Linked DNA regions of Arabidopsis thaliana. The protein of the gene in region 1 interacts with the protein of each later gene in a pairwise test. Each region holds a gene or a part of one and is shown in the gene's direction. Other genes may lie near its edges.

Region 1 (6,712 bases):
TGGGGATTTTGATGATTGGTTAGGGTTTTCTGGTGGAGAATTGGAGAAACCGAATTGATTGTTGGTGATTTGTGTGTTTTGTGAAGCAGATAGGAACTCTGGAACTTTAAGTGGTCTTAGCAATTCAGAGAATGCTGTTCCAGCTGATGCCAAAAATCTACGTGTGAAGGTTTTTTTTTTTTAGTTTTTAGTCTCGTTTAAGAATGTTGATCTCGTTGAGATTGCTTTGTTTCTTCACTGATTCCTGCAATTTCTAATAGCTTATTAGAAAGTTCATGCTTTTGTGATCTGTGGTCTTGCATTATATATGATTGTTCACATTTTAATCCACGCATGTTGTAAGATGTGATAAGCCTAGTGAAGCGCTTTTGAAGAAACATACACTCTTTATAGAATGGTAGTAGCAAAACCTCAACTTTGTTCTTAATAATTGACGGTTTTGCTTTGCAAGCTACTTTTGAAACTCTTTTTCTATTGTTAAGGAGATGATTCCTTTTCTTTCACCTTTTATTTTCTTGTTGCTCAGCAGTATTTTGCCAAGTGTGGTATAATTGGTTTCAACTTTGCGTAAGACATACCACTAACTTTTGGATTCACTTGATTGCAGTTAGTTCTATTAGGAGACTCTGGTGTTGGTAAAAGTTGTATTGTCCTTCGATTTGTACGTGGTCAGTTTGACGCTACATCTAAGGTAAGTAAAGCCTTGTTATCTAATTGTCTTTATTGACCATCTGACACCTTTTTAGAACACCATGCTCTGATGTGAGTGAATATTAGACTATTAGAGTATACTTATCTGCCACTAGATCTCAAGACTACTAGCTATGTATCAGGTAACTGTTGGAGCCTCGTTCTTGTCCCAAACTATAGCATTGCAAGACTCTACCACAGTGAAGTTTGAAATATGGGATACAGCAGGACAGGAGAGGTATTAAACCCTTCATGCAGATTTGTATTGCTTATTTTATTAGATAAACGCTTTGCAAACTTACTAGGATTTAACCTGCATTCACTTTATTTTTAGGTATTCTGCTCTTGCACCACTATACTACCGTGGAGCTGGAGTTGCTGTTATTGTGTATGATATAACAAGCCCTGAATCGTTCAAGAAAGCACAGTATTGGGTTAAGGTATGTTTTCAGGGGGTTCAAAAGGTTCCATTTCGTTCATGTTTCTAGGATTCGTGCAATAGCTTCCGAGCTATATCTTTACCAGGACTGAAAATTAGAGTTACAGACAGTCATATAGCCAACAGCACTCCTGTCTGTGTATATAATGGGTATCATTTAGTTGGGCAACTGGTTTACTTCTCTGACATTTTTGTTCCATTAATTTGCACTCGTTGCTACCATGAAGCCATTTGGCACAACTCCGTGCAGGAAAGATATCAACATTATATTGAATCTAGTGCTATTGTTTTACCCCTGCCCATAAATCTAACAGGAACTGCAAAAGCATGGAAGCCCAGATATTGTTATGGCTCTGGTTGGTAACAAAGCTGATCTACATGAAAAAAGAGAAGTACCTACTGAGGTGAGTTTGCGTAAACGTCTTCATCTAGATTCCGTAGCGCATTTTGTTGTCACTTTCATTGTCCTTGCTTCTTCAGTGGTATCACATTTTCAATTTCTTAACAGGATGGAATGGAGCTTGCAGAGAAGAACGGCATGTTCTTCATTGAGACGTCAGCCAAGACAGCCGATAACATAAATCAACTGTTTGAGGTGTGCACTTCTTTCTTGCCTCTGATTTATGATCGATTTTCTTGTCCTCTGCATTTATTGAGATCTTATTATCCGTTTCTTTCATTGCTTTGGAATTGGAGGATGGAAAAGTGATAGGCAGTGATATGCAGCTAGATATGAGATTTAATTTCTTGTAGTTTGTGGAGGATAATAGTTTTGGATGCAGAAAGATGGATTAATACGAAGTATATGAGATTTTAACTTGTTGTAGTGTACACATGTCTGATAGGAAATTGGCAAGAGGCTACCTCGTCCTGCTCCTTCGTCATGATTGGAGTGTTGAATCATCTCATCTTCAGCCATGTCTTCAGACTACTAATCTTTCCATACTTTTTAATGTAATGTTTCAAAACAATATTTCTCTATCTGTTAAGTCAAGTGTGTTGTATAATGTGAAGATTTGAGTTTGAAACTGGGGATATTACGAACCTCAAAAGTGGAAACCCAAGTTATATCAAGCAATGGATCATCAGTACATATTTTAGTGGGATTCATCAGAAGTAGAGAAGAGTAAAGCTTCATTCAAATGATTCAATGCATGTATAGTTTGTGGGAGAGACTATTGCAGCCAATTCTAACAAAACCTAAATCAAGAAATTATTTGACAATTTCAAAGAGACTAACAAACAGGTAGAGAAATCCATTATACAAAGGATTTGACTTTTGATGATTTCAGATGCAAATACAAACTTAAAAACTTTATATATTTGTATTGGTCAACCTTAATATCATAAATTTATAGTTGAGGCAATAAATAAATATGAAAATCTAAATGCAATGTTTAAATATTAAAATTTAACGGCAAAATAAAATAGAAAAAATTATGATTGGTCTGAAAATGGACAAAATGAGACTTTTCATGTCCAAATAGGTGTTTATTGTCACGTTGATGAGAAGACTATTTCGTTCCATAGCATTTCTGTTCCTCCTCTTGGTTTTTTGGGTTTCTTCTTCCTCGTCTTGGTTTCGTTAAAACCCTTTTGAAGCCCTCTGGAACAGTAAAATCTGAGGGATGGGATTAACGAATTGTTGTTCCCACGAGGAGCTAATGAGTCGACTCGTTGACTCCGTTAAAGAAATATCAGGGTTTTCATCTTCAAGGGGTTTTATTGGGAAGATCCAAGGCGATCTTGTTCGTAGGATCACGCTTCTCAGCCCTTTCTTCGAGGAATTGATTGACGTCAATGTTGAATTGAAAAAGGATCAGATTACAGGGTTTGAGGCTATGAGAATCGCTCTTGATTCAAGTCTTGAGCTTTTTCGATCGGTTAATGGAGGAAGCAAGCTTTTTCAGGTTACTCATTTACTTGCTCTGTTTTATTTGTATTTATATCTTTGGTAGCTGGCAAAAGTTGGCAATTTCCTTTGTTTTCTCTTCGAGGGTTTAAGATTTTGGTGTTTAGGGTTTTGTTGTTTGTCTTTGTCTTCTTTAACAATATCAAGAATTTGGGTTTTGTCTTGTTTCTCTTATTTTGGGATGAATCAAATTGAGTCTGATAACAAGAAGTTGAGACCTTTTTCGTGTTCTCTCTGCTGGCAGCTTTTCGATAGAGATTCTCTTGTGGAGAAGTTCCGTGACATGACAGTGGAGATAGAAGCAGCGTTAAGTCAGATTCCTTATGAGAAGATTGAGGTATCAGAGGAAGTCAGAGAACAGGTACTTCTCAATGCATTGATTTAAGGAGGGCTATATTTTTCTGTTGATTAAAATCTGAATTCTAATGATAAGCTCTCTGAATTTGTAGGTTCAGCTTCTGCATTTTCAGTTCAAGAGAGCAAAAGAAAGATGGGAGGAGTCTGATCTACAGCTTAGCCATGATCTAGCTATGGCAGAGAATGTGATGGATCCTGACCCTATAATCCTCAAAAGACTTTCACAAGAGCTCCAACTTACTACCATTGATGAGCTGAAGAAAGAATCGCATGCGATACATGAGTATTTTCTTTCATATGATGGAGATCCTGATGACTGTTTCGAGAGGATGTCTTCACTTCTTAAAAACCTGGTAGACTTTGTAACAATGGAAAGTTCAGACCCTGATCCATCCACTGGCAGCAGAATCGTTTCGAGACATCGTTCTCCTGTTATACCAGAGTATTTTCGGTGTCCGATATCACTTGAACTGATGAAGGATCCTGTTATCGTCTCCACTGGACAGGTCTGGCTTTGCAAGTTTCGTTGTGCATTGTAGTGAATTTGATTATTAAACTTGTGTATTTGTTGTTATAGCTGAATTTTTCGACCTTGCAGACATATGAAAGATCATCAATTCAGAAGTGGCTTGATGCTGGTCATAAAACATGTCCGAAATCTCAGGAGACACTTTTACATGCTGGATTAACCCCTAATTATGTGTTAAAGAGTCTCATTGCTTTGTGGTGTGAAAGCAACGGCATTGAGCTACCGCAAAATCAAGGGAGCTGTAGAACCACAAAAATAGGAGGAAGCAGCTCTTCAGATTGTGATCGAACATTTGTCCTTTCCTTGTTAGAGAAATTGGCCAACGGTACTACAGAACAGCAAAGAGCTGCAGCTGGAGAATTAAGGTTACTAGCCAAGAGGAACGTGGATAACAGAGTTTGTATCGCTGAGGCTGGAGCCATACCACTCCTTGTAGAGCTTCTATCCTCACCAGATCCTCGGACTCAGGAACATTCTGTGACAGCTCTTCTGAATCTTTCCATAAATGAAGGGAACAAAGGAGCCATTGTTGATGCAGGAGCCATAACGGATATAGTAGAAGTCCTAAAGAACGGAAGCATGGAAGCTAGAGAGAACGCTGCTGCAACCCTTTTCAGTTTATCTGTTATAGATGAAAACAAAGTGGCAATAGGTGCTGCTGGAGCTATCCAAGCACTTATAAGCTTGCTTGAGGAAGGAACCCGAAGAGGCAAAAAAGATGCTGCTACAGCGATTTTCAACTTATGCATATACCAGGGGAACAAATCAAGGGCGGTTAAAGGCGGTATTGTTGACCCTCTGACCAGATTACTGAAAGATGCAGGTGGCGGAATGGTGGATGAGGCTCTGGCCATTTTAGCAATTCTTTCAACTAACCAAGAAGGGAAAACAGCGATAGCTGAAGCAGAATCTATCCCGGTTTTGGTTGAGATTATAAGGACAGGGTCACCAAGGAACCGGGAAAATGCTGCAGCAATACTTTGGTATCTATGTATTGGGAATATAGAAAGGCTAAATGTAGCAAGAGAGGTTGGTGCAGATGTGGCCTTGAAGGAACTTACTGAGAATGGCACTGATAGAGCAAAGAGGAAAGCTGCGAGCTTGTTGGAGCTTATTCAGCAAACCGAAGGTGTTGCAGTAACTACTGTTCCATGAAAGCCTCGCTCTTTTGGAATGTTATTTGTTTCAGTGTAGATTATATGTATAGGAACCTTTGGTTTGAGTCTGACATAAGAATCTTATGTAATGATGTTATATGTAATTTTCGACTCAGAGTTGTGTATATCTATTTGATATTTAAAAGTAAAAGTAACCCTATTATTTACTGTTTCACACTCTCGATTTGCTTGAGAATTAGGGAGAAGTAAAGCCGTATATAACTAGCAGAAGTTGAAGTGAAAGGTTGTACCAAGAAAACATTATTGAATTTGTATAATCACGCTGTATCTCAACCATTTAATATACACATACACATACGCATACCATTCACTCTGCAACCACAATGATCCAGAAAAATAAACAAAGACATACAAAAAATGAATTAATAAACACACTCGAAAGAGAAAAGATGAACATAACGCTCAGTTTACGGATCAGCCTAGTTTTTCCATGAATGTTTCTATCAACGTTGCGCCGTTGACGATTTTTGTTGTGGCAACAATCAAATCATAAGCCATTCCTTCCTGATAAAATTTTATGCAGAAGCAAGAATGGAGGATTCAGCGGACAAAAAGAGTGTTTTTTTTATGGTAAACTTTTGAAGTTTGATATATACCTTAGAGGCGAGATACCGTAAAGCAGAGATTTCAGCAAATGTTACACCTCCAATGAAGACAACAAGAACAATTGAGCGTCTTCCATCAGCAACCCTGTAATCATGTCCCAGATGAAACCTCTTACACATTAGAATCATTCCATTTATCATTTTATCGAATTTACTTCGCGGTACAAAACTAATTTGTTAACGAGAAACTTACCCATTTGAAGCTCCGTGCAATGAATCAACTGATGGACTACTTGGGAATCCACTCTGCACAAAGAAGGGACATAGTGATATATTTGCAATTGAAAAATAGTTGAAAAGAGAGGTTACATTTATCTCTCTAATTGGGTAAAGGAAAAAGTGTACTGACTCTTTTAGTCTCCAGATGGGGTCCTGGTAACAGCTTCAAAATGTCTTCCATAGGACGCCTGTAAGGTAGATTGAGACATCAATACAGCACACTAATCAATCATGAACGTAACCTAGGTTATATTGCTTTATCATAGTAAAGTTGTTGCTGTTTACTATTTGCGCATTTCTTTCTTGCCTCAAAGGAAGCAGACAAAAATTCTCCTATTCATTCATACATGGATTCCTTATGCTGAGTTTTTATCAGCCCTTTCACGTAAGTGCTTCTCAAATTGAAACTGAACAGATTCTCGACTTTTTCTTCTTAGTTTAATACTTATTCAGAAAAGCCTATGTGTTAAACTACCTAGGCAAAAGTTTTGGCTAGAAGAAAGCAAGAACATTTTTTCTTTTTGGTAATTAAGAAAGCAAGAACGTACTAACCATCCAGAATGAATAGCTTGTTGGATAAGACGAATGCTAAGAGGAGCATATCCCGAATAGACATAAGCGATATCGTTAGGCCTGCACAAGAAATTTATTTTCCTCAAAACTCAAACTGATTTCAAAACTTGATTTTATGATTAGAAAAAAGTTGGTGCAAGGCCTAGCAAATCAGATGTCTGTAGATAGGTACTATTGAAACACTAAATGTCAAAATAAAAGAAAAAATGT
Region 2 (7,926 bases), on another chromosome or scaffold:
ATAGGGAAGATTACTTGACGGAAAAGAAATTGCGGTAAAGAGACTATCGAAAATGTCCTCACAAGGGACCGATGAGTTCATGAACGAGGTTAGATTAATTGCAAAGCTTCAGCACATAAACCTTGTCCGGCTTCTAGGTTGTTGCGTCGATAAGGGTGAGAAGATGTTGATCTATGAGTACTTGGAGAATTTAAGCCTTGACTCGCATCTCTTTGGTTAGTGACTCAAACAGCTTCTGTTCTAATAATTGAACATTTTTGTGAAAACGTTAACTTGTTGTTGGTTGTGTTGGATGTGTAGACCAAACACGAAGCTCTAACTTAAATTGGCAAAAGAGATTTGATATTATCAATGGTATTGCTAGAGGACTTCTATATCTTCACCAAGATTCACGGTGTAGGATTATCCATAGAGACTTGAAAGCAAGTAACGTATTGCTTGATAAAAATATGACTCCAAAGATCTCGGATTTCGGTATGGCGAGGATCTTTGGACGGGAGGAGACAGAGGCTAATACAAGGAGGGTGGTCGGAACTTAGTAAGCAATCATTCTTCAACAAAACAAAAAAAGAGCTTTTATCTCAAGTCCAAATATTTTCTTAAAAACCTCATAACATATGAGTTTATATTTTGTTATGCAGCGGCTACATGTCTCCAGAATATGCAATGGACGGGATATTCTCGATGAAGTCGGATGTTTTCAGCTTTGGGGTCTTGCTTCTAGAGATTATAAGTGGAAAAAGAAACAAAGGATTCTACAACTCAAACCGTGATCTTAATCTCCTCGGTTTTGTAAGCTAAAAACCTCTTCAATTCGATATTGTTTTGCATTCATAATCTGATTATAACACTAAAGAAATATTACATCCTTTATGCACAGGTGTGGAGGCATTGGAAGGAAGGAAACGAGCTAGAGATTGTAGATCCGATCAACATCGATTCTTTGTCATCAAAGTTCCCGACACATGAAATCTTAAGATGTATACAAATTGGTCTCTTGTGTGTTCAAGAACGAGCCGAAGACAGACCAGTGATGTCCTCGGTAATGGTGATGCTTGGAAGCGAAACTACCGCTATTCCTCAGCCTAAACGTCCTGGATTTTGCATTGGTAGAAGTCCTCTTGAGGCTGATTCTTCTTCAAGTACACAGCGCGACGATGAATGTACAGTGAACCAAATCACTCTCTCGGTCATTGACGCTCGGTAATTTGTAACTTACGGCCCAATCTGTTTACATGCATATCATTTTATAGGTAAGTCTAAATAGATTTTATTACTACATATATGATTCGATATCTTGCTCTATCTAATTTAATTTAGACAAAAGATTCACCACATGTTTCACATGATTTTGATTTAGAGCGAGAATTATAAAAAAAAAACATTTAGACAAAGACAAAAAAATGCAAGATTTGGAGTTGTCACTCCAAGATTTGAAGTTTGAGACCGAAACTCAATTAAGTGGGAATTCAGTAATGATTAATATTCACTTTTTGTACATACTACTGATAATAGACCAATACTGGAAGCGAACATAGGACTTTATGGCTATTACAACAGAGGACTTTATGAAACAAATCGAATATATACCTTAAACTTTTATGAATTCATCGGTGAAGCATTCTCTTGCATATAACATTTAGTATGTCGCCAGCAACATTGAAATTTTGTCTATTCTCGTACACACACACACAAATGGTTGAGGATATTATTTTTTTGGAGTAAACGAAGAAAAGTCAGTTACTAGGAAATTACAAAACCATAATTATCAATTTAACGACTTTTAAGGTCATTGACTCAATTCTATAGTGACATAGTCTATAGATATTTCAAAAGCGAACAAGAAGACCAAGAAAATGTAGCTGAAAATGAAATATTATCAACAATAGAGAGAAATCGTGTAAATGACGTTCACACATTTCAACACCAAACATGTCGTAATCTCCGAAGATAAAAATTCTCAATTATATGTACATAAAATTTTCATAAGAAGAAAATAAAACAGAACACAAGAAAGTGTCCTAGCTAGAGAGAGAGAGAGAGATGAGAAATGTACCAAACTATCATCATTCTTACTTCATATTATTCATCATAATTCTGTTTCTTGCTTTCTCTGTTTATGCAAGCAACTTTTCAGCCACAGAATCTCTCACTATCTCAAGCAACAAAACCATTATATCTCCTAGTCAAATCTTCGAGCTCGGTTTCTTCAATCCCGACTCAAGTTCACGTTGGTATCTCGGCATATGGTACAAGATAATCCCTATAAGAACCTACGTATGGGTTGCAAACAGAGACAATCCTCTCTCTAGTTCCAACGGAACTCTCAAAATATCCGACAATAACCTCGTCATTTTCGATCAGTCCGATAGGCCTGTTTGGTCGACGAATATAACCGGAGGAGATGTGAGATCACCAGTGGCTGCAGAGCTTCTTGATTACGGTAATTTTGTTCTTAGAGACTCCAAAAATAATAAACCAAGTGGATTTTTGTGGCAGAGTTTCGATTTCCCGACAGATACTTTACTATCGGATATGAAAATGGGATGGGATAACAAAAGCGGAGGATTCAACAGAATCTTGAGATCTTGGAAAACCACAGATGATCCGTCAAGCGGAGATTTCTCGACTAAACTCCGAACCAGCGGGTTCCCGGAGTTTTACATATACAACAAAGAGTCCATAACGTACAGGAGCGGTCCATGGCTCGGAAATCGGTTTAGCAGCGTACCGGGGATGAAACCAGTTGATTACATAGACAACAGTTTCACAGAGAATAATCAACAAGTTGTTTACTCATACCGAGTCAACAAAACCAACATTTACTCGATATTAAGCCTAAGCTCCACGGGACTATTACAACGATTAACTTGGATGGAGGCAGCACAGAGTTGGAAACAGTTATGGTACTCACCAAAGGACCTATGTGATAACTACAAAGAGTGTGGGAATTACGGTTATTGCGATGCGAACACTTCACCTATTTGTAATTGTATCAAAGGGTTTGAGCCAATGAATGAGCAAGCGGCTTTGAGAGATGATTCTGTTGGTTGCGTGAGGAAGACGAAGCTAAGCTGTGACGGTAGAGATGGGTTTGTGCGGTTGAAGAAGATGAGACTGCCAGATACTACAGAGACAAGTGTGGACAAAGGAATTGGGTTGAAAGAATGTGAAGAGAGGTGCCTAAAGGGTTGTAATTGTACGGCGTTTGCTAATACGGATATTCGTAATGGCGGTTCAGGTTGTGTGATTTGGTCCGGAGGGCTGTTCGATATCCGAAATTATGCTAAGGGAGGTCAGGATCTTTACGTTAGAGTAGCTGCTGGTGATCTAGGTTAGTTTTTCTTTGCTCTTTTGGTTTTTATTTTATTGTTTAGTTGACTAATAGGTTCTAAGCCAAGGTCCGTAACATAACGGCTTGATCCACTAGGTCCGACCATATAAAGAGTATATGGTCCACAAAGTATCTTGTTGATGTTTGGTCAATTTTTTTAGTTTATTACTTGAAGATATACAAAATACTAGAATAACTTATATATCAAAAGATTAATATGGCTTAAGCTAGTTCCAATACCAAAAAATATATTAATTATTTTGTTTATGTTATTGAATAATATTTTATCAAAAATACGTAAGTACAACAAAGTATACTTTGGAGTTATTATTATGATTGAAGAAAATATATGCCTCGTCTTTATTGCAGAGGACAAGAGAATCAAAAGTAAAAAAATCATAGGTTCGAGTATTGGAGTGAGCATTTTGCTTCTTTTAAGTTTCATCATCTTCCATTTTTGGAAAAGGAAGCAGAAGCGATCAATAACAATTCAAACACCTATTGGTAAATCAACAGCTTTCATTTCCTTTATTTTTACTTCAATTTTTGATAATTAAATGTCTTAATTGTTTTTTTCTGTGTGTCTAAATGAAACAGTTGATCTTGTGAGAAGCCAAGATTCTCTAATGAACGAATTGGTAAAAGCAAGCAGGAGTTACACATCCAAAGAAAACAAAACCGATTATCTAGAGCTCCCATTGATGGAGTGGAAAGCTTTAGCCATGGCAACAAACAATTTTTCGACGGACAATAAGCTTGGACAAGGTGGTTTTGGTATTGTTTACAAGGTAAACATGACTCATAACTTGTTGAAAATCTATCACTGGCAATGGTTTCATTGAATAATCAAATGTGTGGTAATAGGGAATGTTACTTGATGGAAAAGAAATCGCGGTAAAGAGACTATCGAAAATGTCTTCACAAGGGACCGATGAGTTCATGAACGAGGTTAGATTAATTGCAAAGCTTCAGCACATAAACCTTGTCCGGCTTCTAGGTTGTTGCGTCGATAAGGGTGAGAAGATGTTGATCTATGAGTACTTGGAGAATCTAAGCCTTGACTCGCATCTCTTTGGTTAGTGACTCAAACAGCTTCTGTTCTAATAATTGAACATCTTTGTGAAAACGTTAACTTGTTGTTGGTTGTGTTGGATGTGTAGACCAAACACGAAGCTCTAACTTAAATTGGCAAAAGAGATTTGATATTATCAATGGTATTGCTAGAGGACTTCTATATCTTCACCAAGATTCACGGTGTAGGATTATCCATAGAGACTTGAAAGCAAGTAACGTATTGCTTGATAAAAATATGACTCCAAAGATCTCCGATTTTGGGATGGCGAGGATCTTTGGACGGGAGGAGACAGAGGCTAATACAAGGAGGGTGGTCGGAACTTAGTAAGCAATCATTCTTCAACAAAACAAAAAAAGAGCTTTTATCTCAAGTCCAAATATTTTCTTAAAAACCTCATAACATATGAGTTTATATTTTGTTATGCAGCGGCTACATGTCTCCAGAATATGCAATGGACGGGATATTCTCGATGAAGTCGGATGTTTTCAGCTTTGGGGTCTTGCTTCTAGAGATTATAAGTGGAAAAAGAAACAAAGGATTCTACAACTCAAACCGTGATCTTAATCTCCTTGGTTTTGTAAGCTAAATACCTCTTCAATTCGATATTGTTTTGCATTCATAATCTGATTATAACGCTAAAGAAATATTACATCCTTTATGCACAGGTGTGGAGGCATTGGAAGGAAGGAAAAGAGCTAGAGATTGTAGATCCGATCAACATCGATGCTTTGTCATCAGAATTCCCGACACATGAAATCTTAAGATGTATACAAATTGGTCTCTTGTGTGTTCAAGAACGAGCCGAAGACAGACCAGTGATGTCCTCGGTAATGGTGATGCTTGGAAGCGAAACTACGGCTATTCCTCAGCCTAAACGTCCTGGTTTTTGCGTGGGGAGAAGTTCTCTTGAGGTTGATTCTTCGTCAAGTACACAGCGAGACGATGAATGTACAGTGAACCAAGTCACTCTCTCGGTCATTGACGCTCGGTAATATGTAAGATTGTAAGTTATCGACCCACTCTTTTTATATAAAAATATAGACACAGGGCAGTAAGGTCTCCACACTAGGGGCTGATACTTTGCATCAGTCAGTGATACCTTGTGTAACAAGTTTCCTTTGCCTCCATGGAACGTATACAAAAGTTGTATTCAACTTCGTTGTAAATATAATTAAGATAAAAAGAAAAAACCAAAGAGGGTATAAACCCACAAGGATAGCTACAATTTCCGGAGATCCGGATGAGGAGGAAGCATGATACCAAGCTTGAGAATCCTTACAAAATCCCACTACTGCGATAGCATTATATTTATAGTGAAGAAAAATTGTGATCTAAGATGATACACATGTTCAGTGATCACTGATCAATGACCAATTTAAGTATGTCTGACAAATAGCAAAAGATAATAAGAGAAAAGTCACAAAAGGACGCAAAAGAAGCAGACACACAATGTTTTAAAAGACCAAAAGGAATACCAAATTGTCTGCTTTTGACAAAGAAACAGTCAAATTTCACTTAGGATCTTTGGGGTTAGATGTTGAAAGTTGAACCTTTCTTCTAATCTTCCACAGTTTCTTTAGCTTCACTTGTTTCCTGCAAAACAAATAAACAGAGAATATTACTGAAACTGCTTTGAAATCTCAAAGACTCATCAAATAAGCCTTACTTGATAGGTTTAGGACTCACAGTTTCCTCTTCCACAACACTGAGCAACGCAAATGATCTCGAAACATCGCTTACAATATCTTTCTTTGAACAAGAATTGGAATCAACCGGCCATTGCATTGGTACAACTAAATCACTGCATCATTGTGAAAACATAAAAACATAAATTTCTCATGTTTCAGATTAAATTAACACCACAAAAATTTAACTAACTCACCCTTGAGAGCATATGTATCGACACCGACTTATCTTGCCTTTCGTGTATCGCCTGTAATGTTTCTCTAGATGTTCTGTAACACGAGAAACATCAGTAGATGGCAAAACCTGCCAGATCTTCAAAACTTGTACATGTTGATTATTATTCTTGAAAATATCTATCGCCCAAATAAGACTTAAGCCATCATCAAACTCATGTTGTCTCAACAAATTCTCACTTTCAAACTCAACCTCTTGATGAAGCTCTTTCCCATTAGATAACTTCTCCAAAAAGCTCATAACTCTTTTATTAATTTCCGAGTCTACGATCGTTTCCAGAGATTTCAAGAACTCGTAGCTGAGCCAAACCTTCCATATCGAATTCTCAAAAGAAATAAGCTTCTTGTTTTGAAGCTTATTAAGATCATCAAGTGCTGTTGTTGATCTTTCAATACACTGAGCTAATGATTCATCTTCTTCTGCATTATGGAAACAGTTTCGTGCTTTCGCATCATCTACCAACTGTCTCCACACTGATCTATTGTTCGTTAAAGTCGCTTCGTTTCCAAGAATCCATAAGCAATACCTACAAACAAAAAGAGCTAAATCAAGAAACTGAGCATAGCTAAATCAAGAAACAGAGAAAATGTTTACATACCTCGCACGAGTGAGTGCTACATTAGTTCTTTGTTGGTTAGATAAAAAACCAATAGCTCCATTACCGTTAGACCTGACTGTTGAGATTATAATGATATCTTCTTCACCACCTTGAAACCCATCTACAGACCTAACACTCACTGTAAATGTCCCTTCGGTATTATACTTTTCGCCTATCCTTTCTTGGATCGCAAACACTTGAGCTTTGTAAGGTGAAATCACCCCTACGCTTATCGTTCTCCCGGTCTTTCTTGATACTAAAGATTACATAACAAAACAAAAATCAACATCAAACTTTACTTTAAAGACTGATCTGAATCAACATTTTGTTTACCTGAGTAAAGCTTTGAGACTATCTCAGCCACAACAGAGACTTCCACTAGGTTTTTCGAACTATATCCTTCACCAAACTGTTCTCTTCCATAAGCTATGTTGATAAAAGAGTAAGGTCCATACATTTTCTCAGGAAGAAACTTTTTTTCATAACTTCTCAGTCTCACAGAAGGAGCATCCAAAATCTTCATATCGTAAAACTCTCTGTTCGGGAAAATACTAATCGAAGGATGCATTCGGTACTGCATGTTCAGCAACTGTTTATTATGTCCCAACAACACCAATCTTTCGAACAAACTCCTCCCAAGATCAGCCTCTGAAGCAATCTGCACATAACTTATTAAGTAAGCAAAGAGAAGAGAGTGAATATGTGTATAATTAGTTAATATAAGAGAACCAACATTGCTTTTTATCATTGCAGGCAATTGCTTCTCATCACCGATCAAAATCGCATGTTGAAGTCCTCGAAGCTGCAATGGTATCGCTGACTCGCATTCTTTTAACTGAGCAGCTTCATCAATCACAAGAAGCTGTATTGGACTACTCATGTGTAACCTAGCAGAGCTTGATGCTGTGCAAAACAACAGATATGCATTATCTAAGCAGAGTTTTTGAAGTTCGAACTTGGATATAAAATCCGGAAGTTTGATACTCATAGAAATCGATG
Region 3 (7,395 bases), on another chromosome or scaffold:
TACTGTCCTTTCGGGTCCTCAAGTAAACGTATCATGCCATCGATAGTAGCTTTCCACCCGTAAAAAGGCATAAAACATGGGTAAAGCTTATCAACACGTTCATCAATGAAGATGTTAACAAGATCTTTCCTATCTTTAATCTTCATCCTCTCATCATTCCCAAACAAAACTACATCTCCAAGACCATAGTTACCAATCTTCAATGATCCAGAGACTAGTTTCAAAACTCTCGACGCCACTTCAAGAACAGAAACATTCGTTGGACCACATGTCAAGGTTCTACATTTTGCATTCAGTAATGTGAACAACAACACACTTGTTGTCTTTGTCTTCCCTGTCCCTGGTGGTCCCCAAATAAGTCTGACGGTATTCGCGTGGTAGCATCTTCTAACATCCAAACAATTCAGTATTGCATCTTCTTGTGAAGGATTCAGCTTGAGAAAACGACGAGGAGCAAGACCATCACTTCCTTCTTGTAAACACTGAATGCAAAATCCTTCATCCTACACAAGCAGAAGCCAAAAATGATATGACTACAAACATCGAAAGCTATTACAGAGTTTATCAATATCTTTTACCTCACTGTTTCTTCGAAGGACTCTTGAGATAAGATTCAAGTTCACACCTTCATCACCAGGATGCAATGCATTCCAGATACGGATATTAGTAGTTAAATTGACGAGATGAATACCGAAAAGGCGTTCTTTCTTCTCATTCTTCTTCCTCCTTCCATCCTCAACGAAAAGAGGTTTTGAAGCCAAGATAGTTACATCATTAGGCCTATCTGGATCTACCTTACACACTAAAGCAACTATATAAGGTTCACTGGAAATATTGAAGCCATCAACATGGTTTGGTCTTTGATCTGTTAGCGAGATAAGATCTCTAGGCATCAACTTTGTACTAGCCTCATTACTTATTCCACTCAAACGCACTTTATAGAACAAGTCATTAGGAAGCTTATATTCCGCAGTTTGCATAATGTAGCTTATTTCAACCACAGGTGCTTGCCACAACTTCCTCATACTCGACAATAAAGCGGCATGTGTTTCTTCGATAAGCGGAGGAATAAAGGTCTTGAAGTAGTCTCCGGTTGATTCAAACTCCATAGGTATCTTCTCCACCTGTTATAAGCAATCAAACACACAAAATTACTCTCTAGGAAGCTTCTCTTTACTCAAATGGGACAGAGAACACAAGAAAGTAAAACAGAACCTGTCCTTTATAAAGATCAACATTGAGAACTTCGTCAAGAGACCATGAGAGCACCAGATCGACTAAATCTCTTCCTTCAATACGCATTCTCGGCATTTATATTAAAGTTACCAAACTCGATTTCGTACTCTGAAAGATTAACGCAACAAAACCCATTAAACAAGTGAACCCTCAAAGGTACGAACTTTACACTTTTGGCTATAACAGAGAAGCAAAAGGAACTATTTTTACGAGAACCATTGATCATTGAAAGGTAAAGTAAGGTTTTTTCTTCTTTGTTCTTTTTGGTAAACAACGTCTTAGGATTTTGAGATTCGCAATGAAAAACCCTAAATTCTAACGTTGGCTTGAACATTAGAGCGTGTGGCAACGAAATTTGAAGATGATGCAATGAAATTTTAGCCGCTTACTTTGAATTCGAGTTGTTGTTGTCAGAGTTTGATTACTTCGAGACGAAGAAGGGTTTGGTTTTGGGAGACAGGAACAGAGGTTTCTTTTAGAAGGACATGGATGAGTAAGGATTTGGAGGGAAAGGAGGAGAAGAAGTAATTAACTAAAATGGTAAAATTTTGGGGCTTTCTTGAGTTATTTGTTTACTTACGGGTCTACTATGTAAAGTAATTACGTTTCGTATTTAACCGGTTTACACGCTTTCGCAATCTAGCCTATCTACGCCATAAGCTAAACATGACTAGATAGTCCTATAAGGCTATGACAATAATGTTAATTTAAAAAAAGAGGATGTGTTCGTGGATGTTTTAGAGAGAAGCTAGAGAAGAAGAAAGCAATAGAATTTAGTATATTCTAAAATCTATTTCTATTTTTTTTTGCATTTGCATAGTCTTCAACATTAATAATAATTATTTGTATTGACAAAATTTTCATAAAATAAAATCTATGTCAAATAATATTATAAAGACAAAATTTTACACAATAATACAAAATTATATATGAATTAGAAAAAAATGTTGAAGGTAATATAGCAGTTAACAATTTCTTGATTCATTTAAAGAGAGAGTGCATCAATTAAGAGCAAATGTTATGAGATGGCTCAATTCTATGCAAAAATAAAAAGATAAAGTTCTAAAAATATAAAGCATGGAAATAAAATATTGATAACTCCTTCAAGTGGTATTGATGAGTTTATACGATCTGAACAAGTAAGAATCATACAAAACAAATCAAGAATAACAACAACCTATGATTGCACCTAATATTTATTGACAATATTTTGGTGACTTTAAAGGAATTGTACGTTGTAAAATCGTTTATGTAACAAGTCTCATTATTTGTAATAAATAATAAATTTTATAACTAAATTTTATAAATAATAAAACAGAAGGGCCCATAAATATTTTGTGTATTGCTTTTGTTTTTAATAACTAAATTTTATTAGAACTGTCATACAATTTTTTTTAAATAATGTAAAATCTTTAAAAGAAATTTATAAGGGCAGCCAAAAAACAATTTTGTTCTAGAACCCATGATAGAATTGAACCGGTCATGATGCGATGGCCAGTACACACAGCACTACGAATACGAAGCTCTGCCAAACAAATGTCATTTTGTAGTCTAAGGTTAATGATTTACTTGTCTAGCGAATGAAATAGTTGAAGCTTGGTGGTGTAAGTTAATTTCTTTCATGAATTGATATTCGTAGGAAAGGAAAGAAAACCAAAAAAAAAAGATTATTTATAACGAGAAAAACACAAATTAGTTTTATATCTCTCTGAGACACGCATAGGCCTGGCCACACACACACACAAATAAGGAGTGTTGACGAGATTTGTTTCTTTTTTGCGTAAACGAAGAAAGGTCAGTTACTAAGAAAATTACAAAAACACTGATAAGTAAATGTCTATCTAACGAGTTATTTTCTTGTCATTTGCTAGGTCAACTCTATAGTGACAGAGTCTATAGATATTTCAAATGCGAACAAGAAGACCAAGAAAACCAAGAAAACCAAGAAAAGACAGCCGAAAATGAAATATCATCAACAATGTAATATACAGAGTAATCGTGTAAATAACGGCACACATCAACAATAATATGAATCTCCGAAGATAAAAATTCTCAAATTCTCATAAAATTCCCTCAAGAAGAAAGAAAACAGAACACGAGAAACTGTCCTAGAGAGAGATGAGAAGTGTACCAAACTACCACCATTCTTTCTTCATTTTCCTCATTTTAATTCTGTTTCTTGCTTTCTCTGTTTCTCCAAACACTCTTTCAGCCACAGAATCTCTCACTATCTCAAGCAACAAAACCATTATATCTCCTAGTCAAATCTTCGAGCTCGGTTTCTTCAATCCCGCATCAAGTTCGCGTTGGTATCTCGGCATATGGTACAAGATAATCCCTATAAGAACCTACGTATGGGTTGCAAACAGAGACAATCCTCTCTCTAGCTCCAACGGAACTCTCAAAATATCCGGCAATAACCTCGTCATTTTCGATCAGTCCGATAGGCCTGTTTGGTCGACGAATATAACCGGAGGAGATGTGAGATCACCAGTGGCTGCAGAGCTTCTTGATAACGGTAATTTCTTGCTCAGAGACTCCAATAACAGACTTCTATGGCAGAGTTTCGATTTTCCGACAGATACTTTACTTGCGGAGATGAAATTGGGATGGGATCAGAAAACCGGATTCAACAGGATCTTGAGATCCTGGAAAACAACAGATGATCCATCAAGCGGTGAGTTTTCGACAAAACTCGAAACCAGCGAGTTCCCTGAGTTTTACATATGCAGCAAGGAGTCGATACTATACCGCAGCGGTCCATGGAATGGAATGCGTTTTAGCAGCGTACCAGGGACAATTCAAGTTGATTACATGGTTTACAATTTCACAGCAAGTAAGGAGGAAGTGACTTACTCATACCGAATCAACAAAACAAACTTATACTCGAGATTATACTTAAACTCTGCGGGTTTATTACAACGATTGACTTGGTTTGAGACAACACAGAGTTGGAAGCAACTATGGTACTCACCGAAGGACCTATGCGATAACTACAAAGTGTGCGGGAATTTCGGTTATTGCGACTCGAACAGTTTACCAAATTGTTATTGTATCAAAGGGTTTAAGCCAGTGAATGAGCAAGCGTGGGACTTGAGAGATGGCTCCGCTGGTTGCATGAGGAAGACGAGGCTGAGCTGTGACGGTAGAGATGGTTTTACCCGGTTGAAGAGGATGAAATTGCCAGATACCACGGCGACAATTGTGGACAGAGAAATTGGGTTGAAAGTATGTAAAGAAAGGTGTCTAGAAGATTGTAATTGCACTGCGTTCGCTAATGCGGATATTCGCAATGGCGGGTCTGGTTGTGTGATTTGGACCAGAGAGATTTTGGATATGCGAAATTATGCTAAGGGAGGTCAGGATCTTTACGTTAGACTAGCCGCTGCTGAACTCGGTTAGTTTCTTTCTTATTTGCATTTACTAAAGTGGTTCTTACTTTTTGTTTTGATTAAAAAGTTATGACCCAAAGTCAATATATCTTCCCAATCTGCGGACCAAGTCATGTAATATTGTCCCTCTCGAAGCAAAGTTCAAACTCCCTAATCTATAGAGGCTTTGGTCAACAAAGTACATTCTTGATGTTTGGTCAATTTGTTTAGTTTTTTTTTTTTGTCATCTGTTTTTAATTAGAGATCAAAAGATTAATAAGAGTTTAGCTAGATCCAATACCATTATACCAAAAAGAATTTTTGTTTAAGTTAAATTAATTATTTTGTTTATTTTTCGTATTAATTTTTTTTAATCAAACGTACAACAAAGGATATTTTTCGTATAGAAGTAAATATATGCCTCGTTTTTATTGCAGAGGACAAGAGAATCAAAAATGAAAAAATTATAGGTTCGAGTATTGGAGTGAGCATTTTGCTTCTTTTAAGTTTTGTCATCTTCCATTTTTGGAAAAGGAAGCAGAAGCGATCAATAACAATTCAAACACCTAATGGTAAAATAAATCATTAGCTTTCATTTCCTTTATTTTTGTCAATAAATTTTGATAATCAAATGTCTTGATTGTTTTTTTTTTTTTTAACGCCTGAATGAAACAGTTGATCAAGTGAGAAGCCAAGACTCGCTAATCAACGATGTGGTAGTATCTAGGAGGGGTTACACATCCAAAGAAAAAAAAAGTGAGTACCTAGAGCTTCCATTGTTGGAGTTGGAAGCTCTTGCCACGGCAACAAACAATTTTTCTAACGACAACAAGCTTGGACAAGGTGGATTCGGAATTGTTTACAAGGTAAAAGTGATTCAAAACATATTGAAAATCTACCACAGCACATGGTTTCATTGTATAATCACATGTGTGGTAATAGGGAAGATTACTTGACGGAAAAGAAATTGCGGTAAAGAGACTATCGAAAATGTCCTCACAAGGGACCGATGAGTTCATGAACGAGGTTAGATTAATTGCAAAGCTTCAGCACATAAACCTTGTCCGGCTTCTAGGTTGTTGCGTCGATAAGGGTGAGAAGATGTTGATCTATGAGTACTTGGAGAATTTAAGCCTTGACTCGCATCTCTTTGGTTAGTGACTCAAACAGCTTCTGTTCTAATAATTGAACATTTTTGTGAAAACGTTAACTTGTTGTTGGTTGTGTTGGATGTGTAGACCAAACACGAAGCTCTAACTTAAATTGGCAAAAGAGATTTGATATTATCAATGGTATTGCTAGAGGACTTCTATATCTTCACCAAGATTCACGGTGTAGGATTATCCATAGAGACTTGAAAGCAAGTAACGTATTGCTTGATAAAAATATGACTCCAAAGATCTCGGATTTCGGTATGGCGAGGATCTTTGGACGGGAGGAGACAGAGGCTAATACAAGGAGGGTGGTCGGAACTTAGTAAGCAATCATTCTTCAACAAAACAAAAAAAGAGCTTTTATCTCAAGTCCAAATATTTTCTTAAAAACCTCATAACATATGAGTTTATATTTTGTTATGCAGCGGCTACATGTCTCCAGAATATGCAATGGACGGGATATTCTCGATGAAGTCGGATGTTTTCAGCTTTGGGGTCTTGCTTCTAGAGATTATAAGTGGAAAAAGAAACAAAGGATTCTACAACTCAAACCGTGATCTTAATCTCCTCGGTTTTGTAAGCTAAAAACCTCTTCAATTCGATATTGTTTTGCATTCATAATCTGATTATAACACTAAAGAAATATTACATCCTTTATGCACAGGTGTGGAGGCATTGGAAGGAAGGAAACGAGCTAGAGATTGTAGATCCGATCAACATCGATTCTTTGTCATCAAAGTTCCCGACACATGAAATCTTAAGATGTATACAAATTGGTCTCTTGTGTGTTCAAGAACGAGCCGAAGACAGACCAGTGATGTCCTCGGTAATGGTGATGCTTGGAAGCGAAACTACCGCTATTCCTCAGCCTAAACGTCCTGGATTTTGCATTGGTAGAAGTCCTCTTGAGGCTGATTCTTCTTCAAGTACACAGCGCGACGATGAATGTACAGTGAACCAAATCACTCTCTCGGTCATTGACGCTCGGTAATTTGTAACTTACGGCCCAATCTGTTTACATGCATATCATTTTATAGGTAAGTCTAAATAGATTTTATTACTACATATATGATTCGATATCTTGCTCTATCTAATTTAATTTAGACAAAAGATTCACCACATGTTTCACATGATTTTGATTTAGAGCGAGAATTATAAAAAAAAAACATTTAGACAAAGACAAAAAAATGCAAGATTTGGAGTTGTCACTCCAAGATTTGAAGTTTGAGACCGAAACTCAATTAAGTGGGAATTCAGTAATGATTAATATTCACTTTTTGTACATACTACTGATAATAGACCAATACTGGAAGCGAACATAGGACTTTATGGCTATTACAACAGAGGACTTTATGAAACAAATCGAATATATACCTTAAACTTTTATGAATTCATCGGTGAAGCATTCTCTTGCATATAACATTTAGTATGTCGCCAGCAACATTGAAATTTTGTCTATTCTCGTACACACACACACAAATGGTTGAGGATATTATTTTTTTGGAGTAAACGAAGAAAAGTCAGTTACTAGGAAATTACAAAACCATAATTATCAATTTAACGACTTTTAAGGTCATTGACTCAATTCTATAGTGACATAGTCTATAGATATTTCAAAAGCGAACAAGAAGACC

What was found.
Region 2: the proteins of PUB14 (region 1) and RK2 interact in a two-hybrid assay, tested with the Arabidopsis thaliana proteins (one study listed by BioGRID).
Region 3: the proteins of PUB14 (region 1) and RK1 interact in a two-hybrid assay, tested with the Arabidopsis thaliana proteins (one study listed by BioGRID).

Annotation. Positions count from the first base shown.
Region 1 is NC_003074.8:20,318,767-20,325,478, forward strand, and holds PUB14 (plant U-box 14), read left to right. Parts: upstream 1-2,586; 5' UTR 2,587-2,757; coding exon 2,758-3,039; intron 3,040-3,285; coding exon 3,286-3,402; intron 3,403-3,490; coding exon 3,491-3,904; intron 3,905-3,996; coding exon 3,997-5,082; 3' UTR 5,083-5,254; downstream 5,255-6,712. Other genes in the region: ARA6 (Ras-related small GTP-binding family protein), read left to right, coding at 90-169, 608-691, 834-928, 1,025-1,130, 1,444-1,533, 1,638-1,724, 1,975-2,016; ATVPS33 (Sec1/munc18-like (SM) proteins superfamily), read right to left, coding at 5,520-5,609, 5,702-5,795, 5,904-5,956, 6,060-6,117, 6,482-6,562. UniProt on the Arabidopsis thaliana protein: Functions as an E3 ubiquitin ligase with specific E2 ubiquitin-conjugating enzymes. Undergoes auto-ubiquitination.
Region 2 is NC_003070.9:24,471,123-24,479,048, forward strand, and holds RK2 (receptor kinase 2), read left to right. Parts: upstream 1-1,750; 5' UTR 1,751-2,043; coding exon 2,044-3,334; intron 3,335-3,703; coding exon 3,704-3,838; intron 3,839-3,931; coding exon 3,932-4,122; intron 4,123-4,198; coding exon 4,199-4,409; coding exon of another isoform or gene 4,410-4,414; exon of another isoform or gene 4,415-4,494; coding exon 4,495-4,732; intron 4,733-4,835; coding exon 4,836-4,986; intron 4,987-5,074; coding exon 5,075-5,401; 3' UTR 5,402-5,765; downstream 5,766-7,926. Other genes in the region: RK1 (receptor kinase 1), read left to right, coding at 5-215, 301-538, 642-792, 881-1,207; AT1G65810 (P-loop containing nucleoside triphosphate hydrolases superfamily protein), read right to left, coding at 5,921-6,002, 6,076-6,210, 6,292-6,855, 6,928-7,183, 7,261-7,585, 7,661-7,926.
Region 3 is NC_003070.9:24,465,578-24,472,972, forward strand, and holds RK1 (receptor kinase 1), read left to right. Parts: upstream 1-3,204; 5' UTR 3,205-3,354; coding exon 3,355-4,633; intron 4,634-5,044; coding exon 5,045-5,179; intron 5,180-5,282; coding exon 5,283-5,473; intron 5,474-5,549; coding exon 5,550-5,760; coding exon of another isoform or gene 5,761-5,765; exon of another isoform or gene 5,766-5,845; coding exon 5,846-6,083; intron 6,084-6,186; coding exon 6,187-6,337; intron 6,338-6,425; coding exon 6,426-6,752; 3' UTR 6,753-6,895; downstream 6,896-7,395. Other genes in the region: AT1G65780 (P-loop containing nucleoside triphosphate hydrolases superfamily protein), read right to left, coding at 1-503, 579-1,124, 1,216-1,311. UniProt on the Arabidopsis thaliana protein: Involved in the regulation of cellular expansion and differentiation. Mediates subcellular relocalization of PUB9 from nucleus to plasma membrane in a protein-phosphorylation-dependent manner.